Linked DNA regions of Caenorhabditis elegans. The protein of the gene in region 2 interacts with the protein of the main gene of each other region in a biochemical or structural test. Each region holds a gene or a part of one and is shown on either strand. Other genes may lie near its edges. The genes, in order: smu-2 and smu-1.

Region 1 (8,312 bases), on a different chromosome or scaffold from region 2:
AAGTTTTCAATTTTTTCAAACATTTTTTCTGGAAAATTGGATTTTCCCCATGTTTTCCTGATTTTTTTCCGATTTTTCCGTACTTTTGCACCTAAAAAGCCTGCAAATTCAAAATTTTCGGCATTTTTCAGCGTTTTTCTCTCGGAAAAACCAACCTATCCCGATTATCACGATCTCTATCACGATCCCGATCCCTTGATCTATCCCGTGATCTATCCCGCCGACTTCCTCTTCTACCTGCGTCTCTTGAATCTCTAGACTTTCTTGATGGAACATAATCGTCAAGATCATCATAGATACTATCTCCTTTGGCTCCAGGAGCTGCTGCTGCTGCTCCTGGAGCATCTCTGGAGCCCAATTGAACTCGAAATTCCTCTTTTTTCTTCTTTTTTGGCTCGGCGCGAAGATGAGAGAGCACATGTGAGAGCTTTAAAATGATGAGATTGTTCGCTTGAATTGATTGAGCAGATTCGGCACGTGGCAAGTCGTGGAGAGACCTGGAAATTTGGAATTTGTCGAAAATTTCAGCGATTTTTAGCTTTTTTGGTGCTGAAATTTGGAAAATTCTAAAGATTTTTGATTAAAAACCGTTTTAAAAATTGCTGTTTTTACTGGAAAATTGTGAAAATTTGGAGATTTTTCCCAAATTTTCCTACAAAATCCGTGTTTTTTTTCAACTAAAAAGTGCAGATTTTACTCAAAAAACAGGGCAAAAATTGAAATTTTTGTCCAATTTTCAGCTATTTCGGAGCTGAAATTTGTAAAAATTTCGAGATTTTCGATTAAAAACCGAGAATTTTCACGGAAAATCGGTATTCTTTACTGAAAAAGTGCAAATTTTACTCAAAAAACAAGGAAAAAAAATTCAAATTTTCAGAATTTTCAACGATTTTGGTGCTGAAATTTGTAAAAATTTCGAGATTTTCGATTAAAAATCGAGAATTTTCACGGAAAATCGGTATTTTTTACTGAAAAAGTGCAGATTTTACGCAGAAATGTGATTGTCCAATTTTTTAAATTTTTTATTGATTTTTTGAGGTCTTTACTATGATTTTCCTGCAAATTTTTCGGAAAATCCATGAATTTTTCACTAAAATCCCATTAAAACGTAAATTTGAGCTTTTCCAGCATTAAAATATTATGGAAATTGCTTGAAATTGCAAAATTTGCCCTACAATTCGAAAAAATCATTTTTCCGGAATTTTTCCCTAATTTCAGTGAATTTTCAGTCAAAAAGTGCAAAAACTGACTGAAAATTTAACCTTTTTTCCAAAAATTCCGCTTTTTTAAAAAGCAATTTCCATACTATTTTGTTGCTGAAAAAGCTTTAAAAAATGTGATTTTGCAGACGTTTTTTAATTGAAAATTCATTAATTTTCTCGAAATTCCATGAAAATCATCGAAAACGCCAGAAAAATAAGTTTTCATCAAATTTTTGGGAAAATTCTTCAATTTTTAGCAATTTCCATACTATTTGAATGCTGGAATAGCTTAAAACTGCAATTTTCAGAGGGTTTTCTATAATTAAAAAATTCATGGATTTTTCAAATTTGCTATGAAAATCGTTGAAAACGCCTGAAAAATGGGTTTTTTTTTTGCTAATTTCTGGGAAAATTCTGTAATTTTTGGCAATTTCCACTCTGGAAAAGCTCGGAATGTGGTTTTTTGGCACATAAAATAGCGAAAAATCTGTTTTTTTTTTTGGCTGAAATCTTCAGTTTTGAGGCTTAAAATATCGATTTTCAGGCTTTTCCTCCAAAAATTCGGATATTTATGTTTTTTTTTTTTAATTTTAGATAGAATCTGCAGTTTTGAGGCTTAAAATCTCGTTTTTCACGACTTTTCCTTAAATTTTCGAATAAAATCGGTAATTTTTACTATTTATAGGCCTGAAACGATGTTTTTAGAGGTTTTCCGATTGAAAATTTACTGGGTTTTTTCAAAATTTCTACGGAAACTCTAGAAAACACTGGAAAATTGGATTATTCAGCAAATTTGTGTGAATGTTCCGTAATTTTTGGCAATTTCCACCCCATGGAAAAGCTCAAAATAGCAAAAAATCAGCTTTTTTCACAATTTTGGCTGAAATCTGCAGTTTTTAGGCTTAAAACCTTGATTTTAGATTTTTTTTTTTTTCAAAATTTCAGGTAAAATCAGCAATTTTCACTGTTTATTCATGGATTTTTCTAATTTTCCATGAAAATAATAGAGAATGCCGGAAAAGTAGATTTTTCTTCAACTTTCTGGCAAAATCTGCAAATTTCAGCGTTTTTTTAAAGAATTACGGGCGCGAATTATGTAATTTCAACGAATTCCACAGCTCAAAATCTCTCGATTTTCAGGCTTTTTCTTCAAAAATCTCGTGTAAAAGCTCCAAATTTTCGAGCTTCAGCACCTCAACAACGTCGTCGGAATGTCAGTTTCCTCATCTTCCAGCTCTACAACATAAGCCATTCGTCCTTTTGCGAAAAGTTGATTGTGAAGGGGTACTTCATTTTTAAACAGAACTCGATGCAAACTTCTGACCATTCGATTTTCAGAATGAGATTGAGCAAGTTCTTGAGCCAGCAAACTGGCTTCTGATGGTTTTGACGATGATGATGATGACGTCACTTTTTCGTCCTGAAAAATTGAAAAAATTTTGGGTGAAAAAAATTCAAAAATTCTCAAAAAAAATTCAAAAACTCGCAAAATATTCAATTTTTTTTAAACATTTAAATTCGAAAATTTCCAAATTTTCAGAGGTTTTCAATGGAAAATTTACAAAATTTTCCAATTTTTTCATGAAAATCATTGAAAAAACGGAAAAAATTGAGTTTTTTCTTCAAATTTCTGGAAAAATTCTGCAATTTTAGCATTTTCCATACTATTTTGACGTCGGAAAAGCAAAAAAAATATAATTTTTAGAGGTTTTCAATAGGAAATTGATGAATTTTTCCAATTTTTTAGTGAAAATCATCGAAAAAAATCGGAAAAATTGAGTTTTTATTAAAAGTTTACGAAATTTATGAGAATTTTTGAATAAAAAAATTGAAATTTTAATTCTAAATTTTAAAGAAAGTTGATTTTTTTTTATTCAAAAAAAAAAATTATTAAAAAATCAACTTTCTTTAAAATTTAGAATTAAAATTTCAATTTTTTTCAAATTTAAAAATTTTTTATTCAAAAATTCTCATAAATTTCCTAAACTTTGAAGAAAAACTCAATTTTCCAGGGTTTTTCAATGGTTTTCATTGAAAAATTGGAAAAATCCATGAATTTTCCATTGAAATCCTCTGAAAATCACATTTTTAGGCTTTTTCAGTACTAAAATAGTATGGAAATTGCTAAAATTGCAGTTTTTAGCTAGAACTTTGAATAGGAAATCAATTTTTTCAAATTTTTCAATGATTTTCGTGGAAAAATTTGAAAAATCCATGAATTTTCCATTAAAAACCTCTAAAAATCATATTTTTAAGCTTTTTCGGCGTCAAAATAGTATGGAAATTGCTAAAATTGCAGAATTTTTGCAGAAATTTGAAAAAAACTCAATTTTTCGGTTTTTTTTTAGTAAAAAAATATCGAAAAAAAGGTGAAAATTAGCTAAAACTTACCGTTTTTGTCGTTTTCAGCTGGATTTTCAGTCGGTTTTTACACTTTTTCACCCGAAAATCGCTTAAAAATCGATTTTCGGCCGCTGTGGCACGGAGAAAACGACAAAATTGGCATTTTTAGTCAAATTTTGCCATTTTTGTGGAATTTTTTGTAAAAAAAAATATAAAAAATGCTTTTTTTTTGGCAAATTTTGCAGTTTTTAACAATTTGACAAGGAAATTCGTCTATAAAGGCATTTCTCAGCTCAAAAAATCAAATTTTATCCGATAAAATCCATTTTTCCGGCTTTTTTCGCTCAAAATATCGATTTTTCAGCCGTTCAACTCCTTACAAATGCCGTATCAATATCATCATCGTCATCATCATCACTTTTGTCAATTTCACTTCGAACTTTGTTCAAAAGCGAATAATCGAGACCTTTGACCAAGTGAGTGTGCTCCAAATCTCCTCCAAGATATTTCGATTCTAAAATCGCCTGTTTTCGCAAATCTGCCTGATCCTGAGCCGAACGGGCGTCTCCTGGAACTGCACGATATGCCGCCGTGAGTTTTGATGGATCTTCTTTTTCCTAAAAAATCGATTTTTCAGGTTTTTTAATGGAATTTAATGAAATTTGGCAAAAATTATATGATATTTTAATTCTACTAACATCGCCTTGCTTGCGTCTCTCCGCTGCACGATCTCTATAGTTTTTCAGAATATTTTTGAGCGCGGCCTCATCCTCGTCCGCCTCGGTTTTCTCTTTTTTCGCCTTCCCGTGAGCGGCCGCCTGTGGTTTTTTGAATTTAGCCGGTTTCAGATGTTTGTGCTTGAAGCTTGCAGGCTTATCGTCGCCGGTTTTCGGGTCGGCCGGTTTTGCAAAGGCCGAGACTGCTGGACGATCACTCCGAGCTGAAGTCAGGAGCTTTCGAAAATCGGCGTTTCGCAGGTTTCTGGAAGGTTTGGGTTATGGAAAATAGCTATAAAAAATAATAAAATCACTTACGTTGGATTATCAGCCATTTTTCCACTTTTTAATGGACAATTTCGGCTGGAAAATCAGGAAAATCGTTCGAATATGCGAAAATGCAATTAAATATAAAAATCCGCAACAGAGCGCACTTGCACCACATGGCCGACGGGGGTTCTTAGGCCGCGGCCACGGATATTTTTCACATTTAAATGCACATTTTTCGGGCACCCTTTTCTCACCGTTGTGGCAAAGTTTCTTTCAGAAATTTAAATAAAAGGATTGAGAAATATGTGTACTTTCTAAAAATATCAATTTTCAAGACAATACTTCTAAGCAACGATGAGAAAAAGCCGATGAAATTAAGAATTATTTCATTATGCGTTCTAGAAAAGAAGTCAAAATGATCCAAAAGTCATAGCTTTTTTGATGTAATTAGGCTTAGGCTGAGGCCTAGGCTTAGGTCTAGGCACCTTCGGCGCGGCCCCCGACTTCTGGGGCTGAAAATTAATTTTTTATGAAACTACCGTAACCCTACAGTATTCCTACCGTACCACTATTGTACCACTACAGTACCCCGACTATATCCCTACACTGACCCCAACTCACTATCCCTCCAGAAGCCAAAACTTCACAGACTACAAAGACTACAGAGACTACAAACTATGGACACACAGAATAAGCGCTTTATATATAGTAAATGATGATTATTTCCAATGTCTGTGAACCCTTTTCGTCAAAAGTAAAACCGATAGAAAATTAAAATTTTTTTTTTTTAAAACGTGAAATATCTAGAGTTTAAATTTTCATTTTAAAAGAGCTCCACGTGGAAATTGAAAAGCAGAAATAGGAAAAGGAAAAAATGGCGGAAAAAAAATTCATTTCCTACTATTTGCACTACAATTGCACAAAATTAAGCAGATGCATAGAGTAAAAGGTGAGTTAGGGGGAGTTTTCCTCCGGAATTCTTTCAGGAAGCCTTGCTACTAAACGCAAACCAGAGCTTTGCGCAACCGGCAACCAAGTTGCCGTTTGCCGAAAAGTTGCCGAAGTTCCAGCCAGCAAAAGTTGCCGGTTGCCAAAGTTTTTAGGGTTCGGCAATTTCGGCAATTGCCGGTTTCCGCACAGCCCTGGTGCAAACCCAAGTTTACACTTCATATTTGGATTGGTTTGCCCCAATTTTTTAATTTCTGGCAAAAAGCAAAGTTCTGTCTTTTATTGGAATTTATCTTTTGTGTAAAACGCCGACTAAGAATCAAAAAATGGGCAAGCAATTTGCCGATTTGCCGGAAATTTCCAATTCCGGCAATTTGCCGGTTTGCCGTTTTGCCGGAAATTTTAATTTACGGCAAATTGCCGACTTGCCGATTTGCCGAATACCAGATTTGCCGGAAATGTTTAGAGGGATTTTTTATAAGACGGAAGCACTTAAAACTGTCTATTATTGAATTTTTCCCGTTTTTTCTACATATTTTCATAGAACTTCTCAAAATAGATATAGAAAAATTCATATGATGCGTTTAATTTTGCCATTTGAAATTGAAATTCCAAAAAATAAGTGCAAAACCACAATTTGCCGAAAATTTTCGGCAAATTACCGATTTGCAAATTTACCGAAGTTCGGCAAATCGGCAATTTGCCGGTTTGCCGGTTTGCCGGAAATTTTAAATTCCGGCAAATTGCCGATATGCCGATTTGCTGGAAATTTCCAATTCCGGCAATTTGTCGATTTGCCGATTTGCCGGAAAAAATCGTTTGCCGCTCACCCCTAGGCAATATCATTTTATTTATTCTCTTTTAATACAGCTGAAATATTTCAATTTTTGAAATCCAAGAAGACTATGAAATCTTCAAAAAAATCAATATTCCAGAGTATCAACTCGCAGACAATATAGTCACCTTCAACCATCATCACAGTTTTAAAATTCCTCCAAAAAATGCTCGACCAACTGATGTGTCTATTATTTTCCAAGAGCAATTTGCCACGGTTTTTGAGGGAAACATGCTAAAATGGTGAGTGATTTTTTCGAAGTTGGAAGGTAAAATATATAAAATTTTATTTAGGGTTCTTCAACTCAATCGGTATCCGCTTGATTCCCCATGGAAACTCAAATTGGTGCAAAGGGCAATTCGTGATAAATATCCACCACCCCAAAAAATACAATTCACATTGAATGTGATGGAAAAAGATGGAAGTGTTGAGAACAGCCTCAAATATGTACTCGATGGACAAATAAATGAAGGAAGAGTCGCAATGGAATCAAAGACCTTTCGAACTGATCCACACGGAAAAGATCTCTCAGAGTTGATGGTCTCCGCAGAGAAGAATGAACAAGAACTTGAATTGGAAACTCAGTGGGTGTACGATCGAGACGATTTCGCGGATTTGAAGTACTTGTTGGAAGAAGGAGCACCAATTGAAACAGAAACTTCTGAAAGCAACTTCGATGCAATTACTGCAAAGTCAGTTTTTGATTTGCAGCACTTCTTTGAATTCAAAAAGTTTTTTTTTAGATTCCCAAAAAATCTGAAACTCATCACATCTGATGGAACTCAATTCGTGATGACTAACAGTGAGATGGTCTGTCTGGCTTCTGGGTACTTCCGTGCATTTTTGACGGAGCACACCACAGAGCTCACCGTTGAATGCTCCGATGTGGAGGCTATTAACATCGTAGGTTGACGTTTTCTGAATATTTGGGACCGTTTAATTTCAGTGTCTCGTATACATGGTCACCAGACATTACAAAAAGCCTGCCCAGCTCACACCAAGATTGGCTTCTGAGATATCATCTTTGGCTGAGCATTGGTTCACCAATCCTGATTCGGAAAAGCTGAGAAGCTCGCTCGAAAAACATCTTTGTCTGGAGCTGCAGACGGTAAAAGTTGTGTGTTTGCTTTAATCAAATACCGTAATATTTTCAGAACTATGAGGACCTTCCATATGTCTGCAATTTGATGATCATCGCTGAGGACGCCAAGTTTCGAAACGTTGAAACGTGCTGCATTGCCACTATCGTGTCTTACCATGCACACGATTTCATTCGAACTATGATTCATACGGTTAGTTGCTTAGTTCAAATCAGCACTTGACATCTACCGGGTTCCACAACTTAGTTGAATTACGTCAAAAACGGAACCCAGTAGATGTCCGACGCTACGATAAAAATTTGAATTTGCTTTTAGTACTAAAACTTGATAAAATTCCAGAGACACCCACTCAGCTTGCGTTTGTCTACTCCTGGAGCAAATCATCCTGACTCACTGGCCGAACAAGTGACGGATGCTTATTATCAGTCGTTGAAGGCGAAGTCGTGTATCAACGCCATTTCGGATGATTAGCTCTTTACTTGTTCAATAAAGCATTTTATTAGACTTTTTTGTTGAAAATTTAAACTAGTTTTCGGACGGACAGAACTTCGGAAAGAAAATGGCAAAAAGAATTGTCTGAATATGTTTTCAGTTACTGATCCAGTGTGAAGTGTTGATGCCAGCGTTGACGAATTCTGAAAAAATGACAATTTTGTATGACCCGTGATATGTCGGCTGCTAGTAGATTGTTTTGAATATTCAGCTTCAATTCGAGTTATTTGTGCCAAACAAAATGTCTAATTGTAAGTAGAGATCAATACAATCTTGTGAGCAGTTCAGAAAAAGCAGAATTGTGCAAAAAGGTTTGTAAAAACTCTTTTCAGATCAGTCCGAGTAATTGGGATGATTCGCGTGGTGTCAAGCTGTTTCATCACAGTTTGATCTACAAAAAATGCGG
Region 2 (8,721 bases):
TTTTAAACCTTTTTTTTACTGTTTTGGAAACATTCTTAGGCGCTTTTTTTGTTAATTTTACATTTAAAAATGCTCTTAAATATTTTTATTCCATTTTTCAGTTCTTAAACTTTTTTTCAAAATCATGTTACCTGTCCAGAAATATTAACAACGTAGAGGGTATTGGATCGATTGCATACAATCATTTGTGGTGGATCACTTTTCGGAATTGGAATCACATTTAATATTGGATAATCTTCACTTCCAACACGGAATGTTGAAAGGCATTCACCCGATTTTCCATGCCAAACACGAATTGAACCATCTGTTGAACATGAGATCTGGAAATTATTTGGGATTTTTAATTTTTTTAAGTCTAAATTTTTTTTCTGAAATTTAAATTTGAAACTTGGAAAAAAATATATATATATAGAAAAAAAATCAATTTTTCCGGATTTCTGCAACGTTTCTAAACAGTAAAAAGCAAAATCAATATGGAGGGGAAACGTCAGAAAAAGTGCACAAAATGACGTGTGTAAACATAGAAATATGTGGGATTTGTGTGAGAAAAGAAATACAGAGATAACATGCATTTGATTGCGGCTAACATACTACAAACTACAATTTTTTCCCGATTTTCTCGCGATTTCTTATATGTTTTTAGCTGTTTAATTGTAGTTATTTAATGAAAATTGTTATTTTTATTGTAAAACTTCAAAAAATAGATATAAATTTTGCAGCAATGAAAGTTTAGAACTACAGTACTCCTTAAAGGTGCACACCCATTTTCAGGAACCGTATTTTTTACGCAAAAAACCGCAAATTTTCGAATTTTAGTATCGTTTTTCGTAATATACAATTTGATTTGTTTCTCTTTATAAATAAAATTACAAAGAATTGCAGGTTTGAAAAAAACACGACTTTTTTAATTAAAATTTTCTGTTACATTTTTCAAATTTTTTTTTGCTTTTTTTTTTTTGCAATTTAACATTTAAAAACTGTCTCTAAACATATTCTTACAACATTTTTTAAATTTGTTTAAACATTAAATATTTTTTGCATTAAAAAACTTTGCATTTTTTCAAACTTTTTGAATTTTTAAATGTTTATTTTGTTCAATTTTTTAGAAATTTTATTTTTATTCTAAGCATTTTTGAAAACATTTTTTTGCGTTTTTTTTTTAATTTTACAAACTACAAATTAGTACAGTTTTCGGATTTTGTCCCAAAATATTTAAAAATTGATGCGTTTTTTAAAAAGAAAATAAATGAAAATTAGACTACAAACTGCACTTTTCAAAAACTCACAATATGATTTCCCTCATCGGAATATCTGACATCTGTAATATAACTCGAGTGCCCACGCATTTCCTTCAAACATTTTCCGCTCTTCATTCCATGAACTCTGAACAAAATTTGTAGTTATTGTAGTTATTAGATTCAAAAAAAGTAATTGTATAAATGTTTTGGTCCAAAATTTACAAGTTTTGTGAATTTTCTAGTTGAAAATTGAAAATTTGAAAATTACATTTAAAAAATTGTGTATTTCTCAAAACTTTTTTGTATGAAATTTTTTCTCAAATAATGACTTTTGGGGCTAAAAAGCATGAAAATTCACAATTTTAAGGGAAAAAATCGTATGAAAATTGTTTTTTTTTCTGGATTTTTTGAAGAAACTTCACAAAAAATTTAGGCGGTAGGCAGGCAGGTAGTCGTACCTCACAACATGATCATTTCCACCCGACAAAATATGTGAATTATCTTTTGAGAATCGAACAGCACAAACTCCTTTCGTGTGAGCTCTATCAAATCTTCGAAGACAATCACCAGTTTCCACTTTCCAAACTTTAATTTTTCCGTCAATTGAGCCTGTGGCGAGCATTTCAGAATCACGACTAAATGATATACATCTCACTGCTGCATCCATCATCATTAGATTATCTTGGGCCTGAAAATATTGAAAATTGTTGGAAAATGAATGTAGATTTTTTTTTGTGCTTTTTTGGTAGGGTTACTGTAGTTTATGAAAAATTGAGGTGTAAGTTTTTGAGGAGGTATTGGGTTGGGAGCTGGTGGGGGGCAATGTTCAGGTACTGTAGGTATACGGTAAGGTTACTGTAGTTTGGAAAAAGTAGATTTTTTATTAATTTTTAACATGAAAATTGTAATTTTAGAGTAGTTTATATAAATAAATGGTGGCAATTTTAATTTCTCAACATTTTCGATTAGTCACTTTTTTAGGTGGCATTTCCTCAAAATGTTGAATTTTTAAGCTAAAAATTGTAACTTTTCTTTAATTTCTCAACATTTTCGTTTATTTACCATATTTTACGAAAATTTTAATGTAATTTCTCCAGAATTTTGAACTTTTCCAACCAAAAAAAATAGATTTTTGATTTGTTTTAATGCTTTTAAAATGACAAAATATGAATTTCTGAACATTTTAAATTATTCACTCTATTTCAGGTGAAATTTCCGAATTTTGTGGCAATTTTAATGGGATTACACCGAAATTTTGAAGTTTTAGATGAGAAAAACTGATTTTTTTTCTAAATTCAAGAGTGTTTCCATCCAATTTTTTATAAAAAATTTAAGAAATTTGATGTTTGTGGAATTTTTATTGCAATTTTGAAATTTTACGCAAAAATTTCGGTTTTTTTGCGAAAAATGCGCTTCCAAAGTTATTTTTCTTCCATTTTGTGGAATTTTTGCAATTTTTCTTCAAAACAATTCATAAAAACCCTAGATTTTTATGATTTTCTACTTCAAAAACCCAAAAATTCTAAAAAATCTACCTGATATTTCAAATCCTTTCTCAATTTTCCATTCATATAATTCCAAACTTCGATAAATCCGTCTTTTGAGCCAGAAACAAGATAATTAGCGTCCGGTGAGAAAACTGCCGATTCGGGATAACTTTCTGAAAGAATTTAGGGTTTAAAAATGGAAAATTTGATATTTTCGGTAATTTTTGGAATTAAATCATAGTTTTTTAATTAATTTTCTAAGATTTCAGGCGATTTTTCATTCAAACCCCCGTTTTTCTTTTAAAAAACCCATAAATCCCAGTATTTTTCGATTAAAAAATCAATTTTTTGTTTAAAAATCCCTTTATCTAAAATTTTGACAAAAAATCTCTAAAGTTCAGAAATTAATTCAATTTTCAGATTTTCAAGTGGTTTCACTCGAAAAATTAGATTTTTCAATGTAAAAATGCTTGAAAAATTCAAATTTGATATTTTAGAAAGTGGTTGACTGGCTACAAAATACAAGTTTTTGAGTTTTTTCTGAATTTTTGTTGAAAAAATACAGACTTTAGGTCGGATTTTTAGATTTTCGAATTTCAGTGCAAAATTTTGAGTAAAAAAAACTTAATTTTTTAATTTTTAATTTTTAATTTTTTTTTTTTTTTTTTAATTTTTTTTTTTTTTTATAAATTTAATTTCTGAAAATTTTATAAATTTAATTCTGAAAAAAAAATACAATTTTGGTCCAAATAATAGTAAATTCGAAATTTTACTCAAAAAATCGAAAATTTAATTGATAGAGGCCTAGACTACAAACTACGAAATTCAAATTTTCTGGATTTTTTTCAAAAAAAAATATTGTAAAAAAATTAATAATTAAGGTCGGAATTCTAGATTTTTGAGAAACCGCCAATTTTTATATTTATTTTCGAATTTTAGGGCATCATTTTGCAATTTTTGATTCCTAAAAAAATCCTTTTTTATAGGAAAAAATTGAAATTTTACAATATTTTCTAATCATTCACGCTATTCTTTGAACTTTCACAATGAAAAAAATTCCAATTCTCAGAAAATAGGCTCAGAAATCTAATTTTAAGTCGGTCAAAGCTTAAAAAATGCACTTTTTAATCAATTTTTCAAATTTTAAAGCAATTTCAATCCGTACTCGTTGAGAATTTAATGCTTCTAGCCATCATAGTCGGATATCTTTCTTCAATTTGCTCTTTCTGTGCAGCTTTTCCTCTAAATAAATCAATTGCAGTTCCAGGTGGAAGAAGTCCTTGATGAAGTTGCCATTTAAGTGATTGTCCAAGTAAACTCAAAAGTCTTGACGGAGCAACTACATGAACTTCTGATGAAAGAGTTTGTGCAATTACGGAGCGTCGTTTCTCTTTACTAACATCTCCATAAACCTCTTGTCCATCGAAATACGGGCGGTTGATAAGAGATTCCAGGCGGGCGAATCGATCCGGATCAATTTGTTTTAGCAAAATCATTGGATCAGTCTGACGGGCGACGAGACGGGCGGTCGCCAGCTCACGGAGCTCCACAAGCTCGATTATTACCTGAAAATTTGAAAAATTTACGAGGAAATTGTTTTTTGTACTAAATTTTCAGGAAAATCTACAATTTGAGCCGAAAAGGTGAAATTTTATTTAAAAACTGCAAAATTTGGGGTTAAAATCTGGCAATTCTGAAGAAAATTCGCTTAAAAACGCGATTTCAACGTAGTTTTTGATTTTTTTTTTTTTTGTTTTACAGCGTGAAATAATGAATATTCAACAATTTTTGGTGAAAATCCCGCGAAAAATTCAATTTTTCAAGTAAAATCTCGGTTTTTTCCTTCTTTCCCATATCTTACATGTTCATACAGATCGATAAGTTTCTTGGCGGGTAATTTCAACGATTGAACGGTTTTCAACACGTTATCCCAATTTCCAGACGTAATTTCATTACAAAATCCATCAATTGAGTCGACTGTATTGAGCGAAACGTTGGTTTCTTCCTGAAATTATCGATTTTCTTTCATTTTCCCAGTTGAAAAATGCAGGAAAATACCTGCAAAATCGCCAGAGTTCGGTGCAAATTCGATTCTTTGAGGAATTGTTCGATGAGACGGATTACACTGAAAATATCGAGGATTAATGATTTTTGGGTTATTTTAAATGAATTTTTACACATTTTGAATGAAAAACTTTTTAGATAAACTTACTCTGAAGATTCGATCTCAATCGATGACATTTTCAGCGAAAATTCGGTGAAAAACGGCTGAAAATGACGTGTAAAATTCGAATATCCTCGGACACGAGAAGTGCGCCAGCCTTTTTGGAAGCGATCGGCAAATGCGCCAGCACGAGCGCTTGGCGTGTTTTGCGTTTTTGGAGCGAATTTCAAATTGGAGTTTTTTGTGGACTTGCATTTGTGTTTAAACTCTTTTTTTTTCAGAAAATATTTTTGCCTGAGATTTTTTTTCATGCACAGTTACAAAAAACAACAGTTTATCCGTTAAAAATCGATAAAATTCCAGAGATTTTTGCTTGACTACGTTAGTTCTCAAAATCCACAGTTTGCGTACAATGCATTTTATCAGCACGTTTTTCTGTTTTTTACAATTGATTTTTTTCCAGCTCCATTTTCTTCAATAAATATGAAAAAACAGGACGACATTCTTTATTTTTTTAAAATAAATTCTTATTCTCACACACGCACACCGGTACTTGTGTTCGTATGAATAGGTTTTTTGAGATTAAAGTATAAAATTTGAAAAAAAAGTTTGAAAAAAAAGGAATTATAATAAAAAGTGTGTGAGCAGGGGCTGTCGTCAGGAATACTGGGGGACTGGGCTTGTGTGTGTCGTTCGTTGGAGCTACCTGAAAACAAAAAAAAATTATTCCAAAAATTTCACTTTTCATTTGATTAACAACATTAAAATCAGTTGCTTACCTCAAAAATATGTGCTTGAATTGAACCAAATTTTAAATATCAGTGAGCTCTTCACAATTTGAAATCGTCAAAGCCTGACGTGCTCTGAAAATTATTGAAAATTCGAAAAACTGGAATTTCCACCGAAAACCGTACCACTGTATCAAAGGCGCGTTTCTCAAATCCAGTAAAACCTTGTCCAGCCAGTGAATCGAAAGCTCTTTTGTCAAAACCGCTGAAGCCGGATCCGGCTAGCGAGTCAAAAGCGCGTTTGTTGAACGCACCGAAGCCACTTCCCGCCTGAAAAATTTGGAGTTGTTTGGAGAGGAAAGACTACAAACTACAAACTACAAACTACATTTTCACCAAGAGCTTAACCATATGGGCACGTGGTGCCAGGCTGTCCTATTACGGTTTGATCTACAAAAATGCGGAAATTTTTCGCGCAGAAAAATGTGACGTCAGCACATTCTCAACCATGCAAAATCAGTTGAGAACTACGCGTCACTTCTCCCGCATTTTTTGTAGATCTGCGTAGATCAAACCGAAATGAGACACTTTGAAACCAAGTGTAGTTTGTAGCATGAAAAAAATTGTTAAAAATCTGGACTTTGCTCAAAAACCGTTAGAAATATTTTTAAAAATTCGTCAATTGAAAAATGTTTGCTTCAAAATTTTAAACATTTTTAACGAACTTTGGAACAGCTTTTTCTAATCGATCACCGAAAAAAGTTAGGCAGTAGGCAGACACACACGCCTGATGGCTTAAGGCCACCTTCAACTCACCAATGAATCAAATGCTCTTTTATTGAATGCTCCGAAACCTGAACCAGCAAGACTGTCGAATGCTCGTTTGTTGAATCCATTATCAAAACCACTTCCAGCTAACGAATCGAATGCTCTTTTCTCGTGAGGTCGATTCAGGAAGAACAATGAGCCAACTGGACGTAGTCGGACAGCTGCACTTTCCACTGTGGACATCTGGAATTAAAAACTATTTGAACCTTTTTAAATGTTAATAAAATAACTAGTTTTGCCTAAATTATATAATGTAGAAAAAACTAAGTTAGTATACTATTGATGCAGTATTACAGAATTATATGTCTTGAATTCAAATAGTGCTCAGCTAACACAGTTCTGTAGTTTGTAGTGTCTCCCTTTCACCCTCCACCAGGACCCCCCTAGCCATCCCAATATCAACGAGGGGCCCCCCTACACATGTTTATGTCTATGTCATCATGATGCCTGGCGAGTTTGTTGGCACTTTGTAATTGGAAAATTTCGTTTGACGCACTTCTTCGCTTCCCCGTTTTATTTCGCGTCATTGGACACGAGATGTGATACATTTTGTTTTTTTATTTTTTGGGAAGGAGGACTCACAAACTTGGGTCTTGACAAGAAGAGAGGTGGATTAAATAGTATTTACTTCAGTGATTGAAGAGGATTAGATGTTGAGGAAGTTCCGAGAAATGTCAGGATGTTAGGAGGACATAAGACACGGCATAAATTTTATGGTACGAAATATAGGACTGGAAAACAAGTTAGGACTACTAACAAAAAAATGTTTAGGGGTTCGGGGACGGACACTCGAAACTATAAGTTTGATATTTTTGTCTTCAACTGTTAAATGTGAATTCTGTTAATATATAAAAAGTTTCGCTATATATTTTATATATTTATTTATTTCAATACGTTTTTTAATCCCTTTTTTGTTGAATACTAAATTTGTCAAAATAGGTAATCGTGAATGTGGGGAAATTCATAAACGCACAGTGTCCGCCGCTAACTAACAGGGGTTTCACGTTGTTAACTAAACTTTGCCGTCTTTGCCGTTTTTTGGAACCACACGTGGTGCCAGGCTGTCCCATTACGGTTTGATCTACAAAAAATGCGCGAATGTTTTTGCCCAAACAACTGTGACGTATGCACGTCCTTAACCATGCGAAATCAGTGTCTCTTCTCCCGCATTTTTTGTAGATCTACGTAGATCAAACTGAGATGAGACGCTCTGATACCACGTGGCATCATAGAATTTTTGAAAAATACTTACTACGATTCTAAGTAACTTATATACATCCATTCCTCCTCTTCTTAGAAATAAGGGTCCTTGAGTATCACTATAATTTAACTAACATTAGTAATAATACAATCCCTTACCCTCTTTCCCACATAACATATATATTATTGAAGTTTGATCACCACCACCACAGCCCACTCATTTTGCACAAGAAACAAAAAAAAACATATTACTCTCCGTTCCTTTTCATTCATTCCCTCCTTTTGAAATTTTAATCAGTAGAAAAACGAAATGCATTAGTGTTTTTTGGGTTCTGCTGATGTGGCTGTGGCGCATGGAAAACGAACGAGTTGCAATTAATTATTTATGATAATGAGTAGTCGTCAGAAAATGGAAAAAGGTTTTTGGACGAGAATGGAGAAAAACTCGGCCACCGATTTATCGCTGGTTACAGTACTCCAAGGGTGAGATTTGTGTAGTGAGGGTTAATAAGACATGTGGAATTCAAAATTCAAAATTAAAATTTTCCAAAAAATCAGAAGTTCAAAAACTACAAATATGTTCTATCCACAGACCGAAGCCATCAGCATAACAACTATAGTACGTTCAGGCAAAGCAGTTTTACAGTTTGTCGTCGGGAGAAAATTTTGTTTTCTCTGTTCCCCATAAATACAGTAGACATCTCAGATCTTATTTAAATTCAGAGAACGTCTAATATTATTGACTGAAAACAATTAAGGCTAACAAAACTTATAGTTTGTCTCCCTTAGCCTCACCCACTTTGACTAATTAGTGATTAATGAAATCCGACAAATCTCGGTTTATTGGAACATTTATTAAAAAGTTCCCACATAAATTGGAAAATAGTTGATGAACCTTGGAAGAAATTAAATTTTGAAAAAGGCGGAAAAAACATTTAACTTTAACAATATTCGAAAGCGCTTTTCTATAAATTTTCATTGAAAATTAATGGTGAAATTTGGATAACGATTTTCTAAAATATGGTCTTGGAAATAATTAATTTGAAAAAATTCTCAAACTACTTTTCGAAATAAAA

What was found.
Region 1: the proteins of smu-1 (region 2) and smu-2 are reported together in a solved structure, tested with the Caenorhabditis elegans proteins (one study listed by BioGRID).

Annotation. Positions count from the first base shown.
Region 1 is NC_003280.10:3,478,797-3,487,108, reverse strand, and holds the start of smu-2 (Smu-2 suppressor of mec-8 and unc-52 protein), read right to left. Parts: upstream 4,702-8,312; 5' UTR 4,597-4,701; coding exon 4,580-4,596; intron 4,527-4,579; coding exon 4,244-4,526; intron 4,163-4,243; coding exon 3,926-4,162; intron 2,623-3,925; coding exon 2,396-2,622; intron 498-2,395; coding exon 156-497; intron 1-155. Other genes in the region: Y49F6B.8 (BTB domain-containing protein), read left to right, coding at 5,465-5,480, 6,415-6,556, 6,608-7,006, 7,058-7,217, 7,261-7,422, 7,469-7,606, 7,754-7,885. UniProt on the Caenorhabditis elegans protein: Auxiliary spliceosomal protein that regulates selection of alternative splice sites in a small set of target pre-mRNA species. Selectively regulates alternative splicing of unc-52 exon 17.
Region 2 is NC_003279.8:12,992,134-13,000,854, reverse strand, and holds the start of smu-1 (Smu-1 suppressor of mec-8 and unc-52 protein), read right to left. Parts: upstream 5,053-8,721; 5' UTR 4,967-5,052; coding exon 4,938-4,966; intron 4,851-4,937; coding exon 4,784-4,850; intron 4,731-4,783; coding exon 4,587-4,730; intron 4,291-4,586; coding exon 3,891-4,290; intron 2,899-3,890; coding exon 2,774-2,898; intron 1,927-2,773; coding exon 1,697-1,926; intron 1,384-1,696; coding exon 1,287-1,383; intron 321-1,286; coding exon 132-320; intron 1-131. Other genes in the region: nlp-15 (Neuropeptide-Like Protein), read right to left, coding at 5,720-5,752, 5,804-5,947, 6,434-6,628. UniProt on the Caenorhabditis elegans protein: Involved in pre-mRNA splicing as a component of the spliceosome. Selectively regulates alternative splicing of unc-52 exon 17.